Linked DNA regions of Nothobranchius furzeri. The protein of the gene in region 2 interacts with the protein of the main gene of each other region in a pairwise test. Links are inferred from orthologs where the notes say so. Each region holds a gene or a part of one and is shown on either strand. Other genes may lie near its edges.

Evidence for each region.
Region 1: the proteins of cluap1 (region 2) and cinp interact in binary tests that used the Homo sapiens proteins (3 or more experiments, as listed by UniProt). The two-hybrid records come from large-scale screens. The link is inferred for Nothobranchius furzeri from reciprocal best matches to the Homo sapiens genes CLUAP1 and CINP.

What each region holds. Positions count from the first base shown.
Region 1 is NC_091758.1:16,264,970-16,269,983, reverse strand, and holds the start of cinp (cyclin-dependent kinase 2-interacting protein), read right to left. Parts: upstream 3,048-5,014; 5' UTR 2,920-3,047; coding exon 2,892-2,919; intron 1,788-2,891; coding exon 1,616-1,787; intron 1,385-1,615; coding exon 1,249-1,384; intron 1,019-1,248; coding exon 889-1,018; intron 442-888; coding exon 239-441; 3' UTR 1-238. Other genes in the region: H/ACA ribonucleoprotein complex subunit DKC1, read left to right, coding at 3,629-3,644, 4,562-4,611, 4,691-4,777. UniProt on the Homo sapiens protein: Component of the DNA replication complex, which interacts with two kinases, CDK2 and CDC7, thereby providing a functional and physical link between CDK2 and CDC7 during firing of the origins of replication.
Region 2 is NC_091748.1:64,768,432-64,772,745, forward strand, and holds the end of cluap1 (clusterin-associated protein 1 homolog), read right to left. Parts: coding exon 4,255-4,314; intron 4,020-4,254; coding exon 3,947-4,019; intron 3,866-3,946; coding exon 3,755-3,865; intron 2,907-3,754; coding exon 2,857-2,906; intron 2,597-2,856; coding exon 2,537-2,596; intron 1,191-2,536; coding exon 1,023-1,190; 3' UTR 889-1,022; downstream 1-888. UniProt on the Homo sapiens protein: Required for cilia biogenesis. Appears to function within the multiple intraflagellar transport complex B (IFT-B). Key regulator of hedgehog signaling.

The DNA.
Region 1 (5,014 bases), on a different chromosome or scaffold from region 2:
AGGAACCATAACTAATCAGGTATGAGGAGTTCCAGGATGACCGGACCTGAGTCATGGCATTGGTGAAGACAGAAGCATTTGTTATGAGATGTTTTGCTGAACATGTGCAGGATTTCATACCCAGTTTCTGATTCCTGCTGCTCTTCTGTAGGACAATCATAAAAACTTCTCTAATGCAGGTCTACACCCTAACCATCGCTCCCACGGACCACAGGAGGGTTCACTACAGCAGGCCAGTCTAGAGTGGGCGATGGCCCGTCTCCAGCAGCAGAGCCTCTAGTCCAAGTCTGGTTGCTGCTGGGATGAAAGGCTGGTGGAGCCAACAGGACAGATAGACCTTGGAGAGGTCAGAGGTCATGGTGTGGGCGACTTCCTGCAGAATCGTCTGCTTCAACTTCAGCTCCTGACTGAAGGCAGCCAGCAGGACACCAGACATCTCCTCTGAAACAGCAGACAGACCATATTAAACTTATTGGTTCAGTGGATTCATCAAAGGTTGGAAGACAATTGAAGTTATTTTCTAATGTGTGTCCAGACATCTGCATCTCCACCGCCAAAGGAACCTGCTGCTCTCATTCCAGAGGACCACCGGGAACACCAACTCCTCCACAAGGAGTGGAGACGTGGGTGATGACTGAACAGGAGGTCTTTGTTATCATCAGAGTTCTAGTTAGTGGATCACTCATCAGAACGTCTGAGGTCACAGCATGAAAGCATGCGTTTGTGATGGTAGCAGCATCAGATTGTTGCCATAGAGACAACTGGACCACCTCATAATCAGCATATACTCCTCCTGCTCAGTTTATGATGCCAGGTGTTGGTAGTTTTCCCCGTGGAAGCAGAACCCCGTCCAGGTGACGTCAGCGTGTTAGCTTCAGGTGGACCTACCAAACTCCCGGGTCTTCCAGCTGAGACACAGAGGGACACGTCTTCCTTCAGGACCAAACTGAAACTCCTCCAGCTGCAGAACGCCACGCTGTATCTCCACCAGGTGCTCCATCTTTTTCACCACAACAACCTGAGCAGAAGAAACACGTGGCTGGAGTGAACCAGGGTTACGTACTGAAAACTAAATGAGCAGAAGTCATTTATTTGACGTGAGATTGAATTAAACGGTCCCAGACCAACCGCAGCTTTCCACACACAGCAGCTGTTTATCAGGTTAGAAAAACTATTTTATTCTGAGACTCAACATATAAACTCCTGATTTATGGAACCGTGCCAGATGAAGGTTAAATGAAGCATCACCATTCTGTCAACGACATCCTGCAGTTTGAGGCATTCATCCTGCAGCTCCGCAGCTCCAGCCACCTGCTGCGCCTCAGCCGATGTGGACTGTGACGGTGGTGGACACGTGTCCAACACCAGCAGATCTCCCTGAGAACTGAAGACATAAACATCACCACAGCTGATGATCCCTCTGATTTATGAGTCTTTAAAAACCGACCGCTTAGAGCTTAATGTAGACAAACGAGTAAAGCTCCGTCTTATGATTGCTCTAAAGAAAACGAGTTATCTCCACCCTTACTCATCTGGATCCCAGAGGGTATCTAGTGTGTGTGTGTGGGGGGGGGGGGGCTAACTTAGAGAAAAATAACCTAAATAACAAACTCACTGCCTCATGTTGACGATACTTGCTGCCAAATTGAATCCTTCGTCGTTCAGCCTGTCCCACCTGAGCATCAGGTTGTGCCAGTCAGCGGCGTTGTCTCTGATCTTCCTTGCACTTCCTGTGATCCAGGTGCACCTCCTGTTTGATGGGGTCGCTGAGGTGTCACAAGAATCACCTAGAAACCGTGAATTTGTGTTATTTCTCCTTTCATGCAGTGAAACGGAGCACACACACACACACACAGAAATGATTTGTTTGTCATACAAAGATCTGCTAAACTAGCTTGGGTAGACAGGTTTGTCCCCCTTAAAGAGACATTTGTCCTTTTGGTTTAACTTCACTTCACATCAGCCATCATCTGACCCGTTTGAGGAGTCATGCTGCAGCTGGTTGGGCCAAACTGAACCTGGACCACAGAAACATTAGCTGTCAGATGAGCTCACAAAGGTCAGGGGTATTAAAGGCCACGGCTCATAGACCGTCTCCAGGCAGCTTCATGGTCCTGGGACCTCAGCTGACAATTTTAATAAAGTAGGAGGTTGATGGGAATGTGGGCAACCACTAAGAACGTGGATCCGAGATGAGATCCACTCTCAGGTTGATCAGAAGGAAGAATCAGACAAACAATGCATCCAGGACTGTTGAAGCCTTTCTGATCCCACCATGAGGGGTTGAAGACCCAGGAGGATTCCTGGTGACAGAAAAACCCAAAAGAACAGACTAGAGATCACCAAAAACCACACTGACGAGCTTCAGGGAGAGCATCATTTTGATTGATGAGATGGAAATCGGCTCTAGAAACACTGTAGAAGATGGAGGAAGATCAGTTCTGTTCTGGACTCACTGCACCTGGACCAAGGATTCCTGAAAAGGTTCAGGGTCCAATCCCAGGACCACCAAGACCCTCTGGAGCCAAATCTACTGTCCAGAGTCTATCATCAGAAAACACAGCTAGGAACACCGAGAATGGATCAGAACCAAGCACTGGACTGTTCTGAACTGATCTAGATGCTGTTGAACATCTGTGATAAGAGCAGAAACATCTGGAGAAAGAACACCTGGAGCAGTGTGGCCACGAGTAATGGGACAGAATACCTGCGGACAGGAACGATCTAAATAAGTTGTCCTAGTGAATGTTGATGAGGCAGCTGGGTTCTGCAGGGTTTCATTTACAACCCTGCAGTAAAACATCCACACGTCATCAGAATGTTTTAACCCGGAAGCTGCAGGTTATTCAGACCTGAACAAAAACTACTTCACTAATCAAGAAGATCCTCACCTTCCATCTGATCCTGAAGTTCTCGCATAAAATCCAGCTGAATTATGCTGAGTCTTCTTCTTCTTCGACGTTTGTGGGTGGTAGCAGTGCAGCATTACTGCCCCCACCTGGCCTGGAGTGGACACACGTTTATCAAACAATAAAAAAGGAAGTATTTTTATTGGATCTGCAGCTGTGGACACTCAAATTCCACTACGCGGAGATAGTGGGATTTTGGGGTTAACTGTAAACACTGATCCGTCCCGTCTGCCGTCCGGGTGGACACTGAGGTATTTATGTTCCTCCGCCACCTCCACCTTCTCTCCCAGGATGGAACAAGCATTTAGCATGTTCCCGTTTCTTCTAAAATCCGCAGTCATCTCATGTTTTTTCCGTTTTTTAACACACTATTGCACTAGAGGCCCACCAGTGATCTGTGTCTCACTACTTAATGACAGACTTATCTGACTCCAAATATCACTGGCCTTTTTTAGTGTTTATTTCCCCCCAGGATGCTAGTTAATTAAAGAAGAGCATTAGAACCACCGAAAGAAAAGTCAGAATTATTTTTCACATTTATTTTTTTCCATTTTATATTTAATTATGTAAAAATTGTATTTAAATAGCAAATTCATTTATTTATTTACCTCATTTGGTTTCATTTCTGCTCTGTGACCAGTTGGTGGCGGTAGTGCACCAAGTACTTTCGTGCCAGCCGCCATAAAACATCAAGCAGAAGAAGAATCTTTCATTAGAAGATGGCGGACGAAGCTGGTGAGTGTCGAGCACGTTTTGTAAGCGACAGTCTGTGTTTAATTTATTGCTAAGTTTGAACATAATTCTGCTGAGTCAGGGATTTTATTAACAACACGTCCACGTGCACGTACAAGCGTGTTTTACGCAGAAGGAATCGCAGTAAAAAAAATTCCTAAGTTGGTCTATGAGGAGGTTTGGCAGCGTCTGAGCCAGTTAAAACAAACAAATCCCTCCACGTGTCCAACATGCTTTAGTAGTTGGGTTTAATTCAATAACAGAACTAAGGGTTTGCTCTGTGGACTCGTGTTTTCTTCATAAGCTCCAGCAGCGTTTAGTGTAGTTAACTTTGAGAGAGCGGGTTCTCGGTCAGTGGCCTGTTAGCTCCGCTAGCAGCCACGTGCGCTCCACCACGTGCTGCAGCTGCAGGCCACGTGGGCTCTATATCATTCATTTACAGTTTTCCAAATTTACCAAACTGCAACAGGGATTTAAATTTCTGTTCCTTCAGATAAAATACTTTCTTTCGGTCGTACTTTTTCCACTGAAAGGCCCTTTTGGGCTCAGAGTTGCACTGGAGCAGGGCCCATCTCCAGGGCCACCATGCTGCACGTGCTGCAGGTTTGCTGCTCCTGCACACATGAAGGTAATCGCCTGGATAAACCTGTTGAACACTCTTTTAAAAAGCAGGTGTAGTATGGTCCCTGGAGTTAGTGACCTTTAACCTGAGGTTACCTGGGACCAGTAACCTGTTATAATGCAATGTTCAGTTCCCGGTGGGCATGAAGACTCGTCTAGAATATTGGTGAACACTTGAGCAGTCTGGCTAGTGACAAAACACCACTTAGGGCCCGGTAGATTGTTGTTCTCTGAGAAAATCCTGGAATTCTGATTTTAGGAAGGATTTATGCTACTTTAGTTTGGTTTTTATTTTGCAGCATCCACAAAGAAGAAGAAGAAGTCGAAGAGAGTGGCTGAAGATGTTGGGGTTGGTGTGAATTTATTCAACTTAAGATCTATTTGGAGATTCTCTTCCTGTTGAACAAACTGATGTTTTTATTCAACAGGAGATCCAAGAGAGTCAAGAGTTTTTAATCCAGCCAGACACCAAAGTCCCCACTTTGGACTCCTCCCAGTGGCCCTTGTTATTAAAGGTCAGGAACCCCTCCTCCTGTTTGTGCCTGCTGACATGTTTGACCCTGGTCATGTGATATGATGAACTGGTTTATCCATTCTCTGAGTGCTGTGGGCCTGTTGTGGTCTTTGCTTCTGCTCCGTTCTGGATCAGAGCTTCTCCTGCGGCTGCTAGAGGGGTCTCGGCGTTCTGCCTGACCACGACCAGTAGCCGTCTGGGGAATGACCCCACTTGACCACAGCCAAGACGACCTCCT
Region 2 (4,314 bases):
TTGGGTTGGACTCTCCATTCTACCAGGATATTGTCGTCAAAAAAACTCTTCGGTGGCATGGTCCCAGCGGTGGATGAGATAGGCCCAGAGTTCCTTAAGGCTCTGGATGTTGTGGGGCTGTTGGTTGATGCAGCTATGCAGTATCGCGTGGACATCGGGGACAGTTCCATGGATTGGTTGACTGGGATGGTGGTTCCCCTATTTAAAAAGGGGGACCGCAGTGTGTGTTCCAACTACAGGGGGATCACACTCCTGAGCCTCCCTGGTAAGGTCTATTCAGGGGTTCTGGAGAGGAGAGTCAGCCAGATTCTTGAACCTCGGATTCAGAGGGAACAATGTGGTTTCTTACCCTATGGTCACCAGCATTAGGTAGTGATCAAAGGAACAAGATTGCAAATACAAGCGGCTGAAATGAGTTTTCTCCGTAGGGTGGCTGGGCTCTCCCTTAGAGATAGGGTGAGAAGCTCGGTCATCTGGGAGGGGCTCGGAGTAGACCCACTGTTCCTCTACATCGAGAGAAGCCAGTTGAGGTGGCTCGGGCATCTGGTCAGGATGCCTCCTGGATGCCCTCCCTTTTGAGGTTTTCCAGGCACGTCCAACTGGGAGGATACCCAAGGGAAGACCCAGGACACTCTGGAGGGACTATGTCTCTCGGCTGGCCAGGGAACACCTTGGGATTCCCCCGGAGGAGCTGGACCAAGTAGCTGGGGAGAGGGAAGTCTGGGCCTCTCTGCTTAGGCTACTGCCCTCGCGACCCAACTCCGGAAAAGCGGCTAAAAATGGATGGATGGACTTTCAGATAAAATTCATCTGCTGTTGATAGTTTTTTTAAGTTTGACACTTCAAATCCATCGTGCTGTCAGGCGGAAAAAAACACCAACACACAAGCACATTTTAAAATAAAATAACTTTATTTATATTAACGAATAGAAGCTATATTGTAAATAGGACTTGCTCACATATGTTTCTGAGATGTGACAACACGAACTAACTGGAGCTGGCACATGGAAACTGCTCATATCTCAGAAGTCATTGTCACTTTCCTCCAGCAGAGGGGATCTTGTGCCTCCTATGGAAGGATGGTTACCCCTCGACAGCAGGCCGTTCAAACTGTCATCAATGCTCTCCTCCTCTTCACCTTCATCGTCTTCCTCATCATCATCATCCACATCAATCTCACTATCTTCAGTCTGAAATGTACAGCAAACATAAAAAACACAATAAGTAATCACCCAAAAGCTCAAGTCTGTTTTCAAGAATCCAGTTTTAATGTTAGTTGTCTGAAGTATTTATCCACAAAAACACTTAAAGGAACAGAAGCCAGGAGGAGTTTTGTGTCCAACTAAACACAAGAACAGCTAATGCCTTACTGCTTCACATGGCACAGTCTAATAAGCAAATAGCACAATTTAACACAACACACACCTAATGTTTTTTATCTGCATAGAACAACACCACAGACAGTGGCGGCTCTTCCACATCCTCCCTGACGTAAATGGAGAAAAAAATTCTAAAATGTGTAAAAAAAATTAAAAAATAAAATAAAATCCCCCCTACAACACATATCCAAATATTTACAAAAAATGCAATTTGAATGATTTACTCATCATTTTCACCAGCAGTCTCTCATCAAACAGCCTCACTAATATCACTGCAGGGGGACTGGGCCCCTGAACTGCAGCAAAACAGCCAATCGTGGGTGGTTGCTAGAGAGAACTGGGGCATTTTTGACCAATACGCATCACATAATTTTATGTCTCCAGCCAATAGTGACCATGCTACAGGAAATGGCTAGCTAGAATGCTAGAAGGGGCTGGATCTTCTCCCTCTCACTCTCTCACTCACTCACTCACTCACTCACTCACTCACTCACTCACTCACTCACTCACTCACTCACTCACTCACTCACTCACTCACTGCTGGTTTATATAGGTAGCGCTAACATCAAACATGTACCTTCTGCTGTAAAGTGTGTTTATTTGTTCTTATTGTATGTGATTTAAATTGTCAAAACAGGATATCTAACTAAATTTCTATGTTCTGTTAGCGTCGCCTTCTGGTGGAACTGAGTATTGCGCTTTGAGGTGTGCATGCTTTGATTAATTAAGACACACTGATGCAGAAAACTCAAGCTGGAAAACAAATTAATGTCAAAATAAAATGTGAATAAGGCCAAAAATGACTGCAATTGCTCATGCTTTGTAGAAAGGTGTTCATGGTAGGCTTGTGTATTTGAGTATTATTATAGTCTAATTCATCTGTAAATTTTACTTTGGCTTTATCTGTAAATCAGTTTATTTAGAGAAGGGAAATAAAAGATTGTTTTGAAACTGTAGTCATTTTCCAACAGTTCAATTGTAATATTAAAATGGATTCAAGGGAAAATCTTTTCACACATAACGCCACCTAGATTTTTTTTTCACTAGCTACCACTGACCACACAGATGAGGATCTACTGTTCACAAACTGTGATGTGGAGAGTGGAACATAGGAAGGGAACAAAGGCAGGTCGATGGGATCCATGGCCTCCACAAACCTTTGCTTTCTGCTGTTTTAAGTGATGGCGGGTTGACCTTGTGGAGGCTGATAAAAACACCTTTTAAAAACCACGTGAATGACAACAAGAAAACAACAAACACAGATAAGTTACAAAAATTTCAGTGGAAGGAAAAGTTTGAAACCAAACAGAAATAAAAAATGAATCTGAAGCCATGATAGGATACAGGAGAGCAGACTGACAATTAAGATGGGCTGAGAGTCAGTCACAGCGAGAACCACTTAGAGGTGCTAGTGGCAAACAGAAAGACTTGAAGTACAAAAATGGAGGAATATTAGAAAGTCTAAGATATTACTGACCTCATCACTGTCACCACCTTGCATGTTACCGATAAAATGTCCTCCTCTCCCTGAGAAGGAGAAAAAACAACAAGCAGTTACGAATTTGTAAGAGAAAAGGATTCTGAACAAGAATTTAATCAAAGCTCTGGGCATAGAATTAAAGAACAAGTTTTTAATACATGTTCAGCGGTCTCTAGTGGGAATTAATGCCTTGTAAGTTGTTCTCTGGGGAACAAAAGCTCCGGTGCACCTGATTGAGGATAAAGAAATTAGCCGGAGTAGAAAGTAGGAGAAGGCTTTGGAGTCTTGTCCTGAAATTTGGACATCTCTCCACTGATTGGCTAACAGCAACATGACTCTACCACTGACTCTGTTTGCTGTGCAACGTTGATGTTTGATCTCCACAGATAACACAAGACTTAAGGAGTTCTGCTGTGTGGTGGAGTTGCTAATGCTAACGGTTCACTTCTACTTGCCAAGACAAGCTCTGCTCTTTCCTGAATGCTAAACAACAGCAGCCTTCCCCGCTGTGAGTCCAGATGGGCGAGTCCATGAACGTTAAGTGACAGTGTGACATAGATCTGTCAGGCTTTTCTGATTCCAACCTTTTTCCATCCATTTTCTATCAGAAGCAAATGCAGGAGATAGGTGTAGGAGACTATTTTCAGGTTGAGCCTGCATGTTATATTCAGAGTCATTTTCAAAAATGTTAAGTAAAAAAAAGGTTTCTCAGTGAGCCTGCTCTTAAGAATCTACATTTTCACTTGGAACATTTATATACATCTTTGCAGCCTGATCCATCTTGGGTGAGAAGGTCAGCTTCAGTCCCTCCACACTGTTTACACTCTTAGATTATGATGGCTTAAGTAAAAGCCAGATATGTCAGGCTTACCACAGTCATAGCCTGTTTGCGTACCTGCCATGAGTCCATTTCTGATGAGTCGTGGCTTAGAGGGTCGAGATTCTTCAAGGTCGCTGTCTGACCCTTCGTCCTCTAGAACATCCAAGTCAGAGTCCTCATCTTTCACTGCCAGAGACAAAAGACAAGAGTTTTGGGACTGGACAAATGGGTTTGAGTAAGCATTTAGTGTGTGTTTGATTTTCTCACAGGATCCTCTCATCAGATCTCTCTCCTTCTCCCTCAGTTTGTGCTGCACTATCCTCAGATTGTTTTCAGCTTCCTGCACAACACACAAGTAAAAAAACATTATTACCACAGGACTTTCAATTGACCATCTCTTATAATCTCATCGTGATTTATGAAAGAATCTGATTTTATGGAGACAGGTTGTGCAGACATAGTTGTAGTTTGTTACTGATATTTTCCATAGATACACTAGGGAGTGAATACAAGAAAGGTTTAGACAATTCCAGAACAACAATATGTTCCTAGTTGTGTTTGTTTATTTCACGCACCTCAAATCGTTCCTGTTCCAGTCTGTAAAATTCATCCAGCTGAGATTCCAAGAAGTTGAG